3 linked regions of the Caenorhabditis elegans genome follow. The protein of the gene in region 3 purifies or fractionates together with the protein of the main gene of each other region. This does not show direct contact. Each region holds a gene or a part of one and is shown on either strand. Other genes may lie near its edges. The genes, in order: ddx-10, vgln-1 and hmg-3.

The links.
Region 1: the proteins of hmg-3 (region 3) and ddx-10 purify together in Caenorhabditis elegans (affinity purification with mass spectrometry, with the first as the bait; 2 studies listed by BioGRID). This does not show direct contact.
Region 2: the proteins of hmg-3 (region 3) and vgln-1 purify together in Caenorhabditis elegans (affinity purification with mass spectrometry, with the first as the bait; 2 studies listed by BioGRID). This does not show direct contact.

Annotation. Positions count from the first base shown.
Region 1 is NC_003279.8:2,486,749-2,493,829, reverse strand, and holds the start of ddx-10 (ATP-dependent RNA helicase), read right to left. Parts: upstream 3,855-7,081; 5' UTR 3,847-3,854; coding exon 3,640-3,846; intron 3,594-3,639; coding exon 2,973-3,593; intron 1,223-2,972; coding exon 863-1,222; intron 1-862. Other genes in the region: eif-3.I (Eukaryotic translation initiation factor 3 subunit I), read right to left, coding at 4,331-4,389, 5,264-5,618, 6,589-7,022.
Region 2 is NC_003280.10:9,887,891-9,894,971, forward strand, and holds the start of vgln-1 (K Homology domain-containing protein), read right to left. Parts: upstream 3,192-7,081; 5' UTR 3,052-3,191; coding exon 3,033-3,051; intron 2,987-3,032; coding exon 2,717-2,986; intron 2,670-2,716; coding exon 1,279-2,669; intron 1,230-1,278; coding exon 63-1,229; intron 13-62; coding exon 1-12. Other genes in the region: C08H9.16 (Protein FRA10AC1 homolog), read left to right, coding at 4,899-5,349, 5,397-5,542, 5,592-5,823, 6,327-6,448.
Region 3 is NC_003279.8:5,815,403-5,822,483, reverse strand, and holds hmg-3 (FACT complex subunit ssrp1-B), read left to right. Parts: upstream 1-4,351; 5' UTR 4,352-4,358; coding exon 4,359-4,595; intron 4,596-4,666; coding exon 4,667-5,304; intron 5,305-5,392; coding exon 5,393-6,335; intron 6,336-6,473; coding exon 6,474-6,725; 3' UTR 6,726-6,875; downstream 6,876-7,081. Other genes in the region: Nuclear hormone receptor family member nhr-2, read left to right, coding at 1,376-1,485, 1,565-1,759, 2,331-2,808, 2,859-3,380, 3,499-3,612. UniProt on the Caenorhabditis elegans protein: Component of the FACT complex, a general chromatin factor that acts to reorganize nucleosomes. The FACT complex is involved in multiple processes that require DNA as a template such as mRNA elongation, DNA replication and DNA repair.

The sequences.
Region 1 (7,081 bases), 3.3 Mb from region 3:
AAACTGATTTTTCCAATTTTCAAAAAATTTTTGAATTTTTTTATCATGATATTCGGTCATTGTGACCCATAGGCGCGGTTTAAAGTAATTTCCCCACTGATCGTAGCCCACTTTTAACAGAAAAAAAACTATGAAAAATCGATGAAAATTTCAAGACAACGAAAATTTGAAATTACAGTACTCTTTAAAGGCGCACATCCGTTTGTATTTATCAAAAAAAATTGTCGTGTCGAGACCGGCTACCGTATTATAGAAAAATACGATCGCACGAAAATAAACAACGACGCAACGACACTCCGCTATTTTTAAGCCCCGCCCACGATTTCATTTGCACTGAAATGCGTCGGCCGCAGTGCAAATGAAATCGTGGACGGGGCTTAAAAATAGCGGAGTGTCGTTGCGTCGTTGTTTATTTTCGTGCGATCGTATTTTTCTATAATACTTTGGGCCAATTTTGGTCTTTTGAGCTAAAATACAAATTTTCTGATAAAAAAATGGCCAGTTTTTGCACATTTTCATACCGAACAAATAAAAAAGAAGCAAAAAATCGCATAATTTTTATTTTTCAGGTCAAAAACCGGAAAAATTGTGACTAAAAAAGTAGGGCGAGTTTTTAAATTTTAATTGAAAAAAAAAATGCAAATTTTCTGATTTAAAATTGACTTCAAAATTGATAATATTATGATTTGAAAAAGTTCCAAAACCAGTTTTTGCAGATTTTCGCACCGAAAAATTAAAAAAAAAAGCTTATTTCACAATTTTGTGGCAAAAATCGTTGTTTTCCCTGAATTTTAATTTCTCTGAAAACTAAATACTTCGAAAAATACTAGAAATTATAGTTTTTTTTTCTATAATTTCTGACCTGAATAACCCAATCAATATGCTCAAAATCGAGTCCTCGAGACGCTACGTCTGTGGCAATGAGCACGGCGGCTTTGCTCTCGTCGAATTTCGTGAAAGTCTCGATTCGTTTCTTCTGATTCATCGTTCCCCATAGACCCATCACCGGGAGCCCGGGACGGAGCTGTGAGAAGGCTTCAGTCAGGAATCGAGCCTGCTTGCAACTGCTCACGAAAACCAGCGATTTTTTTTTTCGGTGGGCTTCGATGAATGACCAAAGAGCGTTGATTTTGTGCTCTTCTTCCACGATTACGTACGATTGTTTGAGGTTGTCTGGAGTGGCTGCTGACGCGTTTTCGTGTACGGAGACGAAGACGGGGTCCTGAAAAATTGGCAATTTAGGTAAAATCGCGTAAAAATTCTGAAAATTTCAGTGAAATTCAGGCAAGATTAGCTAGATTCTTCAAAAAATTCTTAATTTTCTACGTGGATTTTTCTGAAATTTCGTTTTTTTTTTAATATTAAAATTTTTAATTAATTAATTTAATATAATTAAATTTAAATTAATTTTAACCTATAATTTCTAGTATATTTTAAAATTATAAATTTTCAGAGAAATTTTTCGAAAAATTCAGCTTTTTCCACTTTTTTTTTTGGATTTTTCTATTTCCAAAATTCCAAAATTTTTGGTTTTAAATCGTTTAAATCAAATTTTTATTTTCACAAATGTCGAAAATTTGCCATTTTTTGGGAAATCGCGTAAAAAATCTGAAAATTTCAGTGAAATTCAGGGAAAATTCAGCTTTCATCAGTGGATTTTTCAAAAAATTCAGAATTTTCTACATGGATTTTTCTGAAATTTTGTTTTTTTTTTTTAAATTAAAATTGTAAATTAATATAACTTAATTTAAATTAATTTTAAACTAAATTAAATTAAAGATTGATTGAATCTGAAAAACTATACTTTTTCAGTGAAATTCAGCGAAAATTAGCTAGATTTATCAAAAAATTCCTTTGGATTTTTCTGTTTCCAAAATTCTAAAAATGCGATTAATTACCCAAAATCCGAATTTTTTGGTTTTAAATCATTAAAATAAAAGTGTTTTTTTGATGTTTCAAAAACATTTATTCTCAAATTTTAACACTTAAAAAATCTAAAAACTAATTTTTCCTTGCCTTTAAACTCAATTTTCTAAGATAATAACTCGAAAAATGAAAGAAAACGGCTGAATTTTCGAAAATTAGCTTGAAAATCGTCCAAAAATCTTATAAAATTATCTTTTTCGATTAAAAAAGATCGGCTTTTTTGCGACAAAAATGCTGTGATAAGCTTCTCTTTTCACTTTTTCTGTATGAAATTCTGCAAAAACTTGCCAATTTTATGTCAGAAAAATTGTATTTCAGCCGGAGAGACCAAAATTGGTCCAAAGTACGGTACCCGGTCTCGACACGACAATTTTTTGGTAAATACAAACGGGTGTGCGTCTTTAAGCGATTACTGTAATTCCAAATTTTCGTTGCAGCATGGAATTTTCTTTTTTTTTCGGTTAAAATTTGAGTTTCATCTCAATTTTTTAATCAACAAAAATATAAATTCCACTCCACTACAACAAAAATTCAAAGTTACAGTACTCTTTAAAGGCGCACAGCCATTTGTATTGAACAAAAATTGTCGTGTCGAGACCGGATACCGTATTTTATGGCCAATTTTGGTATTTTGGTGTGAAATACCAATTTTCTGACTTAAAATTGACCAGTTTTTGCAGATTTTCATATCAAAAAAGTAAAAAGAGAAGCTTATCACCGCATTTTTGTCGCAAAAGAGCCGAACTTTTAAATTTTAATCGAAAAAAGTCATTTTAGAAGTTTTTTGGACGAATTTCATGCAAATTTTTGAAAATTGAGAGTTATTTTCCAAGAAAATTGAGTTTTAAGGCACGGAAAAATTAGTTTCTGGATTTTTTTTAGTGTTAAAATTTGAGAATAAATTTTTAAGCAAAAATTGAGATTTTGGGAAATTAATCGAATTCTTAGACGTGGAAAACGTGTTTAAATTGCCGATTTTTCCGTGTTCCTATTCAATTAATGAACCATTCCGGAATTATTTCAATTTTCCGGGCGAAATCCCTCACATTTGTGCAAACTCTGCACAAATCCTTGACATTTCGTGTCTGAGTAGCCGAAAAGAGCAGCGTCTGACGTTCCGCGGGCAAATTATTAATGATCGAGTTGAGCTGCTTCGAGAATCCCATATCAAGCATTCGATCCGCCTCGTCGAGCACCAAAACTTGAAGCGAATCACAGCTCATTTGAGCATTCTCATCCATGTGTTGTAGGAGACGTCCCGGTGTGCAAACGATGATATTAATCCCGCTGATGCGATTTCTCTCGAATGCCACGTCACTTCCGCCGATAACCAAGCCACACGAGAATCCGTGATGGGCTCCGACGGCGTTAATTGTGCTAAATGTCTGAAGAGCCAGCTCTCGTGTCGGTGAAATGATTAGCGCTCCGAGACCATAGTCTGGAGACCATTTTGCTCGCCAAAGAGCCTCCAGCACGGGGATCACCAGTGCCAGAGTCTTTCCGCTGCCGGTTTTTGCGGCTCCGACGACATCTGAGCCGGTCAGAGAGTAGGCAATCGTGTCCCGTTGGATTTCTGTGGGTTTTGTGTAGTCATTATCCTTGAGACCCTCCAGTGTCCTCCAGGAGAGCGGGAAATCCTCGAAGCGGAGAAATGTGCGGGAGCTTTTCTGGAAAAATCGATTTTTTAATAAAAAAACTATTTTTTAGAGCTACCTTGAGCATTTCCTGATATTTCTGCTCAACTTCGTCGAGCATTGTCTCCTCCTGTCCCTTTAAATCCTGTTTTCTCTTTTTCAGAAGCCGCTTCTCCTTCAACGCTTTTCTGACACTTGGATCCTGCTCGCCATCGAAATTTCGTTTTCTTTTATTATTTCCAGCCCATTTCTGTGCTCCGCCGCCTTTTCCGTTTGTGTGAGGCATTGAAAACGCTGAAAATTGGGTAAAAATATTTAAAAATTGCAGGAAAAATCGTGCGCGGCAGTTGCGAAAAAAGCGTGCCAGGGTTGCATTCTGACTCCGCCCACAATTTTTCTTAATTTTTAATTGAGAAAAAATTAATTTTTTTTAAAAATATAATAATTGGAGATTAAAACCAAGAAATTCGAGGGAATAGATCAATTTTAACTCAAAATAATATTTATTTATGAAAAAAAAAACAATTAAAAGCCACCGAAAATTGATCTTAAATATGGAAAAAATGGAAAAAACAGAAAATCACCACCGCGTAATTTTAGAATTTGATAAATTTTAAAGGTTTTCCGAACTGCATAGGCTTAAATTCGTCATTTAAACTCTAAAATTAGGCGGTTTTCAACAGGAACGAGTAGGAAAAAGGGGGAAACGGTCTTTTTTTGGCAAATACGATCGCCCGGGAAACAGGAAGAAAACGAAAACGTAGAACAAATTAAAAATCGTAGGTGAAGCCGAGGTAGTCCTCGTCGAACTCTTGAATTCTGATGTAACCTGGAAAAAAATCAATAATTTTTGAATTTTTATATGAAAAATCCTCAAATCGCACTGCAACTTTTTTTTGAACGAGGGACGAGGAAATGCGGTTTCTAGGCCATGGCCGAGGATCCGACAAGATTTATCGGCAATTTATCTTGCAATGTTTTCCGCGAGTTTTCTTTTATTTTTCACCGATTTTTCCCCCGTTTTTTTCTTATTAAAACTGATAAATAAATTTTTTTAAAACCAGATGCTAAAATAATTTCCAAGTGAAAAAAATTGTGAATTCAGCCGGCAAGTAGCGGTGAAAGTGGTCAATGTAATATGATGGATTACGGGAATACTAAACACTAAACTTTTTTCGAAACATGATACATATGCTGCTTAGAGGCTGAAACTACCTGATTTTAATAACGAGACCGCTGAAAAAGTTTTTTGAGATTTTCAAAATTCAACATTTTGTGGAAAAATCTCGACTTTTTCGCCAAAAAGGTTGAATTTTGAAAATCTCAAAACTTTTTCAGCGGTCTCGTTATTAAAATCAGGTAGTTTCAGCATCTAAGCAGCATTTATAGCATGTTTTGGAAGAAAGTTTAGGTTTAGTATTCCCGTAATCCATCATATTACATTGACCACTTCCACCGCTACTTGCCGGCTGAATTCACAATTTTTTCACTTGAAAATTATTTTAGCATCTGCAAAAACAATATTTCTTCATCAGTTTTAATAAGAAAAAACGGGGGAAACATCGGTGAAAAATAAAAGAAAAAACGCGGAAAACAAAGCAAGATAAATTGCTGATAAATCTTGTCGGATCCTCGGTCATGGCCTAGAAACCGCATTTCCTCGTCCCTCGTTCAAAAAAAAAGTTGCAGTGGAATCCCCATACCGTCTTCTCCTCCAGTCGCGATAATTGTGCCCGATGGATGCCAGGCCATCGTGTTAATCGGTCCGAAATGTCCCTTGAATCTGGCGAATTCCTCTTCGAACACCATATGATAGATCTTGGCTTCAAAGTGTCCAGCAGAGACAGACGTCTGTGTGACCTGCATCGCGTCTTCTCCTCCTCCAAGGCAAATGTGATCGCGATTCGGTGAGATGCATGCCGAGTTGACGGGACGCTCGGATTTGTATTGTTTCAGCTTTTTCAGATCGTTCACGTCGAGCAGGGCGGCCGTCTTGTCGCGTGAAGCGGAGATCAGGAAATCGCCGCGTGGTGATAGTTGGAGATCTTGGACGCTGTACTGAAATTTTGGGAAATTTTTTTTTTGAAATTATTTTAGAAATCACGGAGGCACCACGGATTAAAGATCTCGTCGAATTCCGGATCTGGCACCGTGCCAACTGCAGTTTTCGCAGTTTTCTCGAAGAAAAATGTGGTTTTTTTTTAAATTTTCTTCAGGAAAAACGCTAAACAACACGCGATGCGTAACATCGGAGCATCGTTGTCAGGATTTTTTCCAGAAAAATTGCGTTAATTTTTTTTGAGTTGGTACGGTGCCAGATCCGGAATTCCACAAGATCTTGAATTTCGTGGAGCCTCGGTCTTATAATCATTGGAGCGCGCTTGCTGACACCTCACGAACTCCCGAATTCGCGGAATTTTGTTTCCACGGGAAATAAGGTTTTTTTGCTAATTTTGGTTTCTATGGAAATTAATATAAATTTTTGATGGATATTGTTGTTGGGAAGCTTTATACGACTCGAAAACGCGTAAAATTTAAGGTTTTACATCAAAAATCGGGAGTTTTTTGATTTCAGAATTTTAAAATATACATTTTTTGTAGAGAAAAATACAGTTTTAATTGATTTAATTGGTTTTTTCATTGAAAAAAATTAGAATAATCAAAATAATCAATCACTGCCGGATTTTGCTGCTTTTTCTCTTCAAAATGAGATTTTCACGGCTTTCAAATCGAAAAAACTGCCGATTTTGTTCCATTTTTCGAGAAAACTAAATTATTTCTTCGAATTTTTGGTTTTAATCTTGTGTGCGGAGTCAGGATGCAACCCTGGCACGCCTTCTTCGCAACTGTGCCGCGCACGGTTTTTTAATGCGAAATTTCGCCAATTTTCCAAATTGTACACACTTTCGGCTCTAATAATGTTTCCCCACAACAATAAAAACCAAAAATTAGCAATAAAATTTCCGCCAATTCAGGAGATCGTAAAGTGTCAGCAAGCGCTCCAGAGAACAACGAAAAAATGACGAACACGATGAACACTCTCGTTAGTGTGAATTGGTGTATCCGGATTTCTCAAATCGTACTGCTGAAGGAGTCCAGACTCGAATCCGATCGTCACGAGGTCATCCATCTGAGTGAAAAGTGCGGTCGTGGCGTTCACATCGAATTGTGAGTAGAAGAATGACTCTCCACCCTCAACCATTTGACTTGAATCACGAAGATCTCGGACTTGGAACGTCGAGAGATTCTTTGTCATCTTTTGTGTGGTGAAGCACACCAAATTTCCTGAATACGAGAATCCGCACGACTTCATCGGAGTCTGATGGTTGATTGTGTAGAGGCAGTTGCCGAGCTCGGCATCCCAAATCTTCACGGTGAGGTCTCCGGACGCGGTGACACACTTGGTAGTGTCCCATGAGACGTCGATATCCCACACGGCTCCGTTATGCCCGTCGTAGCTACCTGAAAAGAAAAATAATAAATAAATATATTTAAAAGGTGGAGTAGCGTCAGTGGGAAAA
Region 2 (7,081 bases), on a different chromosome or scaffold from region 3:
AAGCTTGCGAACCTGAAACATTTAACTCATTAAACTTTGATTCAAAAACTAAAAAAACTAACGGTCTCTCCTCCACGACCAATAATCGAGCGGTGCATGTCAACTGGAAGTTGAATGACTTTCGAGATAGGAACCATGGCAAGAAGAGCCTCCTTGGCTTCCTCGACTTTGGTGTCACGGCCTGACACAGTAACTTGATCGGATCCTTCTGAGCCTTCCTCGCGATTGTTGGGGAATCTAATGGAGACATTGTACTTTGACTGGAGCTCGTGGATCTTTGCTCCGCGTCCGGCAAGAAGTCCCCGATGGAACTGAGCTGGGATGGTGACATTGTCTGTGATCTGTTTCTCGTAGTCCTCAACGACATCTTCAATACGGTTCTTCGCAGCCTCAACACATTGCTTCGATCCACGGATAGAAACTTCACTGCTGTCAGTTCCATTCTTTGGGAATGAAATGACTACTCCACCGTTCTGTTCCTGGATCTCCTTAACGAGTGCAGCTCCACGGGCGAGGAAGTTTTTGTAGTATTTTGGATCTACAGTAATCTTGATGTCAACAGTCTCTGAAAGTTGCTTGATAGCGTCTTCAAGAGCAGCCTTAGCCTTTGGCACGTCTTCTTTCTTTCCGAGCAAATGGATCGTCTCCTTCTCAGCATCTCCTTCCTTCGGGAACATAACTCTGACGTTGAGGGTGTCACGGAGTTTGGCAATCTTGGATCCACCTTTTCCAATGAGGAAACGATGAAACTCTGGCTTAGCCTTGACGGTATCTTCAACATAATTTTCTTCTTTGTCCTTTGCAAGAGCAGAAAGAAGTCCAACAGCCTTTGCAACATCTCCAGCAGGTCCACGGATGGTAACTTTGGTTGATTCGCTTTTCTCTGATGGGAAACGAATATGAACTCCACCGCACTCGTCCTCAATGTCCGAGATCAAACGACGTCCATTTCCAAAGAATCGAGATTGGACTTTCTGTGGAATTTCAATACTTTCTTCAGCAACGTTGGCGAGTTCCTCTTGAATTTTGTTCAGCTGAGCGACCGCTTTCTCCACATTGGCTTGCTTTCCAGTGACAGTGATTTTTCCATCGTCAGATCCACTCTCTGGGAGATCAATGCGGGTCTCGGTTTCGTCACGAAGCTTGCGAATGCTGGCTCCTCCCTTTCCGACAATATGCTTCAAAAACTCTTTGAAGATTGCAACAGTTTGTTGGTAGTTGTTCTCAGCCTGAAATGAAAATTCATTAAAATCGTCTAATAATGTGTTTTCAACTTACATATTCCTTAGAAAGAGCGGTGAGCTTCTTGTAGACAGCATCAACCTCAGTCTTGTCTCCACGGATGTTAACAACGTCAGACTTCGACTTGGCATCAGGGAACACAACCGATACATTTGGATGAGAATCGCGAATGACTTGAACTCCGGAGCCTTTCGATCCAATAATAAGCTTGTGGAGACGTTGTGGAATGATGATATCACGCGACTTTTCGTTCTCAATCTTTGTGACAATTGCCCGAATTTCGGTAACAGCCTTCTTCACACCTTCCTTCTTTCCTTCAACAACAATCTCGTCAGAGTTGGTTTCCTCGTTAGGGATAGTAATCTGAACACCATGTTGATCCTTGATTTTTGAGATGAGTGATCCACCACGTCCAATAACATGACGATGAAGTGTTGGATGAACTTTGACTTTCTCGATAGCGAGCTCCATTTGAAGACGAGCAACTTCCTTGCTGAGTGGCTCGAAAGCTAGCTTAACTTCTTCTGGAGATCCCTCGAGGAAAATCTGGTTAGAGTTATCAAATTCGATCTGCACGTTATTGCGGTTTGGCACGAGAGCGGTAAGAGTTGCTCCTTTTGGTCCGATCAAATGCTTGTGGAGCCAGTTTGGAGCAGAAATAGATTGGGTGACCACAGATGAAGCACGCTCAATGACAAGAGCCAGAGCCTTGGCAAGATCTTGAGCGTTTCCGATAAGTGTGACTTGGTCAGATCCCGAATCTTCTGCTGGTACTTCAACAACGCATCCTGTTTTCTGAAGAACATCATGAATTCCGCTTCGAGATTGTCCAACAATGTAACGATGTTGGGTGCGAGCAACTGCAACTTGAATGCTCGAAACATTTTTCTTCGACTCGATGATCTGGCGAATTTCAGCAGCAACACGTAGAACTCCATCCTTTTCTCCGGTTACCGAAATAACTTCGTTCGTTACGTGTGGTGGTGGAATGTTAATTTTGACACCATTGTTTTGAGTAAGGCGATCATATGTCTCATTTTTTGGGCCACGAACAAATGCAACCAAATTTTTTGGGCAGACGATATGCTCTGTGGCGAGTTTGGCTTCGCGCTCAGAAACGGCCAAAATGTGAGCAGCAGCACGTTGAATTCCCTCGCGTGGTCCAGTGATAGTGATCTTCGACGATGGTCCATCGCGATTTGGGATTTGAATTCTACAATTAGTTTCTGCCTCGAGATTTCTGAGAAGAGCTCCCTCCTTTCCAATGAGACGTCCGTGATGATCTTTTGGGATATCGATTTCACGAGATGCCTGGGTTTGGAGATCGCGGATGATGCGAGCACGAGCTTCTTCAGCCTTTGCGCGCTCTCCCTTCACCACGACAGTGAGTTCTCCGTCCTTTGACTCACTGAGTTCAATTCTGGTCTCTGAAAGCGGAGATGATTAGATTTTCGTTGGAATTGGGAAAACTCACTAGTAGCAGTGGCAATAGCCTGGGCTTTCTTTGATTCTTCTGACGTGCTTCCAAAGCTCTTCACCTTGTTGGAACGCTCGTCCGAGGCCAAACGGAAAGTGATGTTAACTTCAGATTTCGAGAGAGTCGGGCGAGACCAGACGTGAGTCTGTTTGGCGGTTGGAGCAGATGCAGGGGCAGCGTCAGGAAGGGTTGGGAAATCTGAAGCATAGCTGAAGCTCATGACAGCTCCGCCAGTGGCTGGGTCGATTTCGACATTATTAGTCTCTTCTGAAACAAAAAAACTTGAAGATATATTTTTTTAATTTTAACCAACCAATATGTCCGTTGTCCATAATTCGTGTTGTCAGAAGGGTTGGCTGATCCGTGTCCGGGGGTCCGTGCGCAAGGCAATTAATCCGATCGGGGGAGTCTGTTGAGGCGACCTGTGATGTTGACCGAACTAGGCTCGAGAACCGTCCGAATCAAACAATACCTACAAAAAAGAAGATAACTATTTGTTCAAAGTCATATGGAGCAAAAAAGATAGAGGAAGAAAGGAGAATTGGAAAAGATAAATTGAAATTTTGCGAGGCTTACGAATCGAAATCTGACCACAATTAAGAATTATTATTTTAGTATTATTAAAGAAGAGGCAAGTCGACGTGTATTTTTCAAAAGGAGTTCTGAACAGCTAGAAGGTATGATTCACGAAATTATTTTTGTCATTGAAAGGCAAGGTATATTCGAAAACCGAAGTCGAAAATCCTAAGCAGTGGTATGAATTTAGCCCAATAGGTCAGGGCCGAATCGTATTACGATCAGACTCTCTCTTTCTCTCTCTCGCAGGGCAAACACCACGTATACACAAATCGGCCAACTACACAGTAAAGATGGCAGTAGGATAGTTCCTCCTCGCATAGTTCCCCGTTGGAACGTAGAACACTCTTTCTCTGCGTCTCTTGCATTTCTTGAACGATGGACAACGTGGCGGTGCTGGTCTTGTGCCGCTCTTTTTTTTTAAAGTTCCCTAGTTTCACTAGCGTCTCGAGAAGTGTGGCAAAAACATTAAGGAATTCGGAAAAGGGTTATTAAAACCAGAAAGAAATCAGAATTGAACGCTATTCATAATTTTTGTAAAATAACGCTAAAAAAAGAAACTTGAACTAAATGAAGGAGCGAAAGAAACAACTATTAAGAAATAAGAAATCTGACAAATTGCTAATCGGGAAATGCAAGAAGGATGATTATAGTTGCTAGGTCAGGGCCGTTCCATCAACTATCTTCTTTTTCCATCCACCTCAAATGAAATAGATAAAATCAGCCGCAGCTAGCACCGCCACTAGCCTGCGATAGGGATCATGTACCCAATTTTGAGTGATAGATACACGTAATTGCACCTTAAAACTTATTGACATTCAATTGATGGACACCAGTTAGATAGAAAAACGAGCCACAAAAATGTCGGGCTACTACTGATAAGATGGCAGTGATAGACTGAGTTGAGTTGTATGGCAAGAACAATCATAAAAATAATAATGAAAACGAGAGGGTCACAAACTGCAAACATGGCAACTGAGGATTAGAGTTTGAAAAAAGTTTCCTCGCGGGAATCTCATTTATTTAATACTCCTAGATTTCAATTAATTTATTCATAGAAGACAAATTTAAATTGGGAAAAACCTAGACATTTACCGAGAATTAATTCGCATCGCAGGATAAATTTTTTGTCATGTTTCTAACTATGATTTTCTCAGAAAGAACATATAGCGTGAAACAAGATAAAAAATGATTTTTTAGAAAGGAGAAGCCTACAAAATATGTCTATCGAAAAAACGGTTTTCAAACTCACGACGCAACGACTAAGGGACCTAAAACAAGGTTTCAATGCACAGATATTCCGAATAATCATAACGAATTTTAAAAATAAAATCTAAAATTATCGCAAAAATGCAAAAAAAATATCCAGAAACAAGTTTTTTCAGAGCAAACGAACTTGCAGTGTGGCAACTGGTTCGGAGACGCGTCGGGGTACGGTAACACTCGTTTCAGCTGTGTCAATTTTTTAAAACTTGTTTTTTGTGTTTTAATTGGTTAAAACATGTTTTTGGCGTTTTAATTTAGGAAATTATTGAAAATAATTACCAAAAATGCTATAAACATATCATTTGCATTAATTTAAGTTTTTTCAGTTAAATATTCAATGGATCCCCGTAAAATTCGAAACCCATACCATGGAATTGACGATTTACAATCAGATTTTGGAGATGAGCCTTCAAGTAGCTCTAAACCGAAGAGAAAAGGAGATTTTTTGAATAAAGATTATTCGAGTGAAATTCTGAAAAAGCGAAAGACTGATGGACGAGGTGGTTTTGAAGAAGAGCACGGAAGAATGCATAGAAGAATGGCAAAAATGATGTCTATGAACGCGTATGATCGACATAAGGAAATGATCAATTTATATTATCTTTCATACCCGGGAGCTACGAAATTGTTAAATCGGAAAATTCAAGACGAAACAACTGACCTGGATGTCCTTAAAAAGCATCACAGATTTGTTTGGAGTGAGGACGATGAAATTAACGCTTCACAACCTGATAAAAATTCATGGGAAACGAGAATGGCGAAGAAATATTACGATAAATTATTTAAAGGTAAAATATGAGATTAATGATTCTAAATTAATGTTTGTTTATTTCAGAGTATTGCATAGTTGATCTCTCCATGTACAAAACGAACAAAATAGGTATGCGATGGCGAACTGAAAATGAAGTAAAAGAAGGAAAAGGACAACTATCGTGTGGAGCAAGAAAATGTAATGAAACTGCTCATTTATCTAGTTGGGAGGTGAGATTTTCCTTAAAGATTTCTATAATAATAAATAAAAGTATCTTAGGTTAACTTCACTTACAAGGAAGACAATCGGGTCAAAAGTACGCTGGTGAAGGCGAGATTATGCCCAAAATGCTCGGAAAAGCTCAACTACGGAACACGTAAACGACAAGTTGTTCAGAAGAAACGAGCAGTTCGGAAATGGGAAAAAGAACGGAAACGAACTAAAAAGGATGAGGAAGAAGATGATGACGTAGAATTGAATCAACATGAAGCGAAAAATCAAGAAACCAAAGGTGCAATATTATTTAAAACAAAATTTTAAAAATAATCTAAAATAAACTAAAATTTGCATAGAATTATAATTTAAGTTGAAACCTCAATTCTTGTCAGAAAAGTACCGTAATCAGGAGATAAACCTTAAACACAAAACAAGTTTTGAAAATTTCATGTTTCAAAATGTTTTAGAAAATCCATAAATTATGAACAATATGTCTGAAAAAACGAACTTTTTTTTTAAATTTTGGGCGAAAAATGTTGTTTCTGGTAAAAAATTGTTTTCAGAAATATATATTTAAAACAAAACTTCCAGAATTTTCGCCTTTTCCTAGGAATTGAAATCTAGTCTAGTCTGCAAAAATTCATTTTTGAGCAATTTCGCGGAACTCTACAGTAGTTAAAGAAATAAACTGAAAGTTTTGTAAAGTTTCCAGAATGACTTTTTTCAAGTTCTCTCGATTTTCGTCCATTATAAAAATTATACCTTCACCATCAAAATACTAAAACATTTTTTTTTCAGTTCAACCATCAACGTCCACACTGTCTGCATCAACTGATATTTGGGAAGGACCGCCTCCTGCTGAAACAGAGAAAACCGTCGACGACGAGATTGACGAGTTTTTGGATGATCTCTTTTTGTAATTCATAATTATAATAATAAAATGCCTATCAATAACTTTGTGACTTTTTGTTCAACATCACAATCATTTTTAAGGGAAAAAACTTGCGTCAACTTCGAGTTCTCTTTGTGCAAAGTACCACACGAGCGCATAAAATTTAAATGGCCTCCGCGAATTATTTTTGATTTTCTGTGACAAAATGATTTAATAGGTGGTATAAAAACAAACAACGCGTTTCAACATTCTTTACTTTCAACATTTCTTTCATTTAATTTTAAAGTATTCCGCTTCAAGTGTGCAAAAGATCAGTAAATTGAAGTTGTAGTCTGAAATAAATCCGTTTTACATTGCAACCGATTCATGGGATTATGTATCCCTTGCCTGGCAAAACTTTCATTTTTTAGAATTTATTTTTTACTTTATAGAAAAAATAATAATGTAATAACAACATTTTAAAGTAAATACATTTTATTTTCATTAAGCTTGTTAATTCTTAGCAAACATACAGGTACAGACTCTCGACTATTTCTAAATATAAATTGAAGTTCCTATAGAATTTCCTAAAATTAACTATTAACATAACATTTATAATTATTCATTCTCTTTTATTAAAATTTTTGCGAAAAACTGGGTTCTAACGCGAACGAAAATTTTC
Region 3 (7,081 bases):
TTTCCAATTCTTAGTTGGAAAAATTGTTGTTAACAAATTTAAATGTTTTTTTTTGTTGAAAAGTCTTAAAATTTCAAAAAAATATCAAACAATACATATATTTTGCGAAATTTTCGAATTACTTACTTAAGTTTAGAAACGGTTTTGAATACTGAATTCTAGAATATTTCCAGCAATGATTCTCGTCACTAAATGTTTTCTCATTAGCTAAATTAAAATTGACAGCTCGGCCGTTGATGATCCCTTCTGAAAAGAATCAAGATTAGATAACCCCAATCGTTGTCTATTTTCAGAATAAATCGATATTTATAGTTTGACCTTTCCCTTCTGTCAGAATGTATTCGACCATCTGTGCTAAATTGGGGATGGATTAAAGATCCTTCATTAACCTCTATATTACTGTACTATTATAGTATTCTCTGACACATAGCCTCTCTATAGATAGGGGTTACAGAAATGAAATGTTACCCCAAAAGAGGGTTATGAGCATAGAGTTCCAGCAAAAGAATTGACCTACAAAGAACCAAACTTGGCGGCTAATTAATGTTTTGAAAAATTATGACGTCACACTATTGCTTAGATTTCAGCCATGTACTGATTTAATCACAAACATAATCTAGATATAATCTATCAAATTTCTATTCTGACTGTGTGTGTCTTTCAGAAAACCTTTAAATTTCACTTTCCGGAAGAGATGTACAACTATTTTCACTTACAGCAATACTTTTTGGTCGATATATTCCAGCTACAATGACGAAATGTTTTTGGATTAGGGACTGTAGGTGTACTGTAGCTACAGTGCTGTAGCTGAATTTAAATATTATTTTACAGCGTATGAGAACATTATAGGCTACTTGTGTTACCGCTGGGTCCGTAGTTGTTTGGCTTCGAGAGAGGGAAATTTCCTGAAAATTAATGTTCAAGAGCTCTACTATTTCTTCGACACTTTTTCTCACTGAAACTTGATAGACTCTTATTCTGCAACTCATATGCCAACTGAGAACCATACCCAATTTCTCAACAATATCTGTTAGTTTTATCCGAACGCACAAATATATTACAACACCACACTGCGAATATTTGGAAGAGATGTCATCACACCCACTTTCCATCTCTTCACTGTCACCTTCTTATTCCCATAGACCACCAGGGGCGGAGCAGCACACCGTCGTTGCAGGCAGAACGAGCAAGAGTGCGCGAGAACAGTGTGTGCAAGGTCAGATGGTCATTATGCAACCAATTCGAGCGTTCGTTGACCAACATTTTCGCGCGTTCTGTCAGTCTGTTGAATTGTACACTATTTCATAGTATACTCTTTTTTTCAATTTATTAACTCTTATTATTTTTCTATCTCTATTTCTTTTCTAGTTTTCAGATGGTTCCAATGAATCCAGAATTGATGCATTATCCAAATCAACCACATATGATGCCAGGCTATCCAATGATAAATGCATATCAACAGTCATATTTACAGAATCCGGCACAGTAAGTTTTTATATTTCTGTATCCAGTCATAACTTTTCGTGCATTCGAATTATTACAAAACACCAATTCTCACTTTCAGATGGACCCCAGAAATGCTTCTGTGTATGCAAATGCAAATGCAGCAAATGGTTCCAGGAACAGCAACAAACTCAACCTACATGCCACCACAATCTAAAAATACAGTCACTCCAAATGCCACATCACCGCTGAGCCAGATTTCGGACAGAGATTCGGGAAATGACACAATCTCTCCACCACTCACTTCACAGAACAGGTATGTATTTCTTCTGCGCGGTAAAAAGAAGAGTTGCGCAATGTTTGAGTGTTTGGGCGGTCTCTACTTTATGGTCCAATTTGTTTCACGCAATACGTAGAAACAGGTCACCTTGTGACGTGGCAACTGGGTAAGAGAGTGACAGGTCAGAAGAGGGGGCAGATGGGGGACTGTATTGATGACGTGGCAGATGTTACCTCCTAATGATGAATCATATTGAATCCTATTGGCAGGATTCAAGACATCTAAACGGGAATCTCTTTCAACTGGCAAGGTTGGAAGTGGGATTTGAAAATTCAGTTAGTGATTTCAAGTTGATGTAATTTTTACCAATTCACACCTAATTAGAACAAAGAGCGGTTAGATGCAACAAAAAATATTTTAAGATGTTGTACAAAGAGATTAGGTGAGAACAATAGAGTCAGATTTAGCGGAATTTGAGAACACGGTTGTACAGTATGCCGAGGGAATTCTACGTTTCAGCGAGTTACTAAATTAATAAATAAGGCAACGATGACTGGAAGATTACTTTATCCTTTCTATAGTAAAAACGTTAAATTCAATTTTTCAGCGCAACCACTCCAAACTACCATAATCAGCCACAAATGCAATTGACTCCACTTCAACAAGCAAAACCAGAAAAAGAAGAAATCTCACCATATGCAATTAATAATATTCTTTCTTCGACTCAAAGTTCTCCAGACAACGGAAATGAAGCCGATGATAAAGAGAACAGTTCTGTTCGTCGTAACACATTCCCAGCGTCATCTGCTTCAACAAAAAAGCCACGTGGTACTCCATATGACCGTACTAACACACCAATGACAGTAGTTCCACAAATGCCACAGTTTGCTCCAGACTTTTCAAACTATAATCTCACAATGAATGCTTGGAGTGAGTTCTTTAAAAAGGATAGATGTATGGTTTGTGGTGATAACTCTACTGGATATCATTATGGAGTACAGAGTTGTGAAGGATGCAAGGGATTTTTCAGAAGAAGTGTTCACAAGAATATCGCATATGTTTGTACCAAAGGAGAAAATTGCACAGTGAGTTTAATTAGACAAGCATTTCAAAAATATGCTATTATATTTTTCAGTTCTCATATGAAAATTGTGCGGCAAATCGTGGAGTACGTACTCGTTGTCAAGCTTGTCGATTTGCCAAATGCCTCGCAGTTGGAATGAATCGTGACAACGTTCGAGTGAACAAAGAAACTGATAAAGATGTTAAACCATCAGTGGCTTCGCCCAATTTTGAGATGACATCACAAGTGAAAGAGCTTACGGCCGCCTTTGTTGCAAACATGCCATGCTCTACTCACTTAACATCGGGAACTCATGCTATTGGAGCAATTAAGAAATTTATTGAATCAGTTCCAGCTTTGAGCTCACTTTTGCCAAAAGATGAAAAAGCACTTGAAATGAGTATTCAAAAAGTGATGAGTGGTATCTTGGCTATTCGTGCGGCTTTCACATTTGATCCAATCACTTTCTATTCCTGTGAGAATCCAGTAAATTTGCTTCGTGGCGGCATTCGTAATACAGTATTCAATGATTGTGAAGTTGCACTTCTCTCTGGAATTCATATACTTCAAATAGTCAATGGAGGTGTCGCTGAGGTAAGTAATTGTTTGGCATAATGCCAAAATTGTCGGAATATTCCCAAATGACACAATTAATCCCTACCATAACACTCAAGAAAGTAAATATTGCGCCAAGAAAGTTAACCTTTTTCAGATTTTTACGAGTTATTGTCAAGGATTACGCCATCAACTGTCTCAAACACATCTACAAGAGATAGGACTCTGCGATCGATTGCTCATGAGATTGGGACCGTATCTCAATCAATAACAAATATATTACTTCTGATAAATTCAGAACCGATTCGGTGTCTGGACACGCTTCCAACCGGTTCTGAATTCTCACAAAACTTTATTCCTGTCTTATGAATCAATATAGATTCAAAATACTTGTTTAAAGTCCCCTTCCCCCGTTACTATCATTTTCTATTCATGTTCTCAAAGTCTGATCATTTCTTACTGATCTCTTCCTCCAGGTGTGAATTTAATTCTCTATCTCACTCTCTCGTTCGGGCTATATACTGTTTCTTTTTGAATTTCCAATTGATGTTGTTTGTTAGGCTGTTACAGTACCAAAAATTATATTATTTGAAGTTTGTTAAAAACTTAATATATTTGGTACTGCTTCTTGGTTGTTGAAAAGATGAAATAAATATTATTTGATAATTTAACTATTTTGTATGCAGGAAAAAATTTGACGTGCCACAACTTTTACCGTTATTTGTCGTAATTTGTCGTAATAGTAATTTGTCAATTTATTTGTCAAAATTAGTCAATTATTAAAAAAATAATAAAATTAATAGAAACGGTCGTCAGATGCGGTGCTTGCGTATACAGTATACTTCGGTGTTCACGTATGATCGACTACCGTAGTTCTTTGTTTTCGGTTCGACGCGCGAAAAAATTAGAGTGCATTTTTCGAGAATTCATTTTTTTCATTCTTTTCCGGACTTTTCTTGTTCGCGGACGTTTTTCGCTTCTTTTCTTTACACGCGTTATTGACTGACAAGTTTCAGAATGACTGAGCTCAAATTCAAGGGAGTTTACGTGGAGGATATAGGCCATTTAACATGCGGAACGCTTACATTGACTGAAAATTCGATTAACTTCATAGGCGATAAGGGTGGAAAATCAGTTTACATCACAGGAACCGACGTCGATAAACTGAAATGGCAAAAGCTTGGCAACAAGCCGGGACTACGCGTTGGTCTTAGTGATGGAGGTGCTCACCGCTTCGGAGGATTCTTGGATGATGTTAGTTTGTTGTTCGTTTTCTTTATTTTTATACGTTTGTAGTCTCATTTTATTCAAATTCGAAATTTCAGGATCTTCAGAAAATCCAATCGTTCACTTCTTCTAACTGGTCTAAATCTATCAATCAATCAAATCTTTTCATCAATGGATGGAACTATGGGCAGGCCGATGTCAAAGGCAAAAATATTGAATTTTCATGGGAAAATGAACCGATTTTCGAAATTCCGTGCACGAATGTGTCAAACGTCATTGCCAACAAAAATGAGGCTATTTTGGAGTTCCATCAGAATGAACAAAGCAAAGTTCAGCTGATGGAGATGAGATTCCATATGCCAGTTGATCTAGAAAATGAGGAGGATACTGATAAAGTAGAAGAATTCAAGAAAGCAGTGCTGGCATATGCTGGATTGGAGGCTGAAACTGAGCAACCAATATGCCTTCTCACTGATATTCTGTGCACAACACCTCGTGGAAGATATGATATTAAAGTTTATCCGACAAGTATTGCACTCCACGGAAAGACGTACGATTACAAGATTCCTGTCAAAACGATCAATCGTCTATTCTTGGTTCCTCATAAAGATGGACGCCAAGTATATTTTGTGTTGTCGTTGAACCCACCCATTCGCCAGGGACAGACACACTACAGTTATCTCATTTTCGAGTTTGGGAAGGATGAAGAAGAAGATTTGGAGTTGTCGTTGACTGAGTGAGTTTATTTCAGAATTTTCTGGGAACAATTCCGTGCCACTCAAATATATTTTATATTGCCGTCCAATAATTTGAGAGTATTTCAGTGAACAACTCGACTATTTCAATGGAAATCTTCAACGTGAAATGACTGGACCAATCTATGAGACAATCTCAATTCTCTTCAAATCAATTTGCAATCTGAAAGTCACCGTTCCTGGACGATTCCTCGGAAGTTCGGGCACTCCTGCCATACAATGTACACATCGTCAGAACCTTGGATTGTTGTACCCAATGGAAAAGGGATTTTTGTTTATTCAAAAGCCGGTCATGTACATTCGCTTTGAAGAGATTAGCTCATGTCATTTCGCACGTTCTGATAGCGGAACTGTAACAAGAACTTTTGATTTTGAGATTGATCTGAAAACTGGATCATCGTTGACTTTCAGTGCAATGGATAAAGAAGAGAACAACAAACTATTCGACTATCTAAACAAGAAAGAGATCAAAATTCGCAATTCTCATCGTATCGATAACAAATCAGCTGGTTATGGAAGCAGCGATGAAGATGATATCGATCCATACAAGTCAACTGTGAAAGCAGAGGGTCGTGAACAAGATGATGACAGCGATGATGAAAGTACTGATGAGGATTATGATTTGGATAAGGATATGAAGAAGCAGAAGAATGACAAAGACTCATCAGAAGGTTCTGGAAGTGAACCTGACGATGAATATGATTCTGGCTCAGAGAAAGATGCTTCAGGAACTGGAGAATCTGATCCAGATGAAGAGAATATTGAACCAAAAAAGAAGGAGAGTAAAGAAAAGAAGAATAAACGCGAGAAGAAAGAGAAGCCGGTAAAGGAGAAAGCTGTGAAGAAAGGAAAGAAAACTAAAGATCCAAATGAGCCGAAACGAGCAACCACTGCATATATCATCTGGTTCAATGCCAATCGTAATTCAATGAAAGAAGATGGGGATACACTCGGAGATGTTGCTAAAAAAGCCGGAGCAAAGTGGAAGTCCATGAGTGCGGATGATAAAAAGGTATTTTTATAGACTTTTCAAATCAAAAACTCTTTTAATTTTAGAAAAAACCATGATTTTCGAATCTAAAAAATTCAATCACTTTTAGAGCCATTAAAAATGTTTTGTTTTATCCCGTTAGTAATTATTTTTATTCAGGAATGGAACGATAAGGCTGCACAGGACAAGGCAAGATACGAAGCGGAAATGAAAGAATACAAGAAGAATGGTGGAGGAGTAGAGAAAGCATCTGGACCATCCACGAAGAAAAGCTCCGATCAATCTCCGGGTAAACAGTTCAAGTCTAAGGAGCATATCAGTGATACGGATGATTCCGATGACGATGAGCCGCTAAAGGCGAAGAAAGACGAATCCGATGCTGCCTCCGAGTCTTCTGGTGAATCGGATTGATTTTCTGACTAAATATTTTATTGTTGCTTTTTATTCGCCTTCCTTCTTACTTTCATAGATCTCTTTCATCCTCTTTCCAATCATTTACCCATTTTATATTGGATTCCCATTAATTTCAATTATAACTGTAAAATGAATTTATCGATGATGGTTAAAAAGAGAGAAAAAATCAGTAACAATAATGGCATGGGGGATTGTGAAAAATGATTACAATATTAATATTTAATACGATATTTGAAGATTCCAATTCAAAAGGGGGATTGTTTTGAATATAACTAGACGTCTATTTTGAAGCAATCAATTAGAAATGGAAAGTATAATTACTTGCCTGAATTTGAAGGAAAAGATAAAAAAAT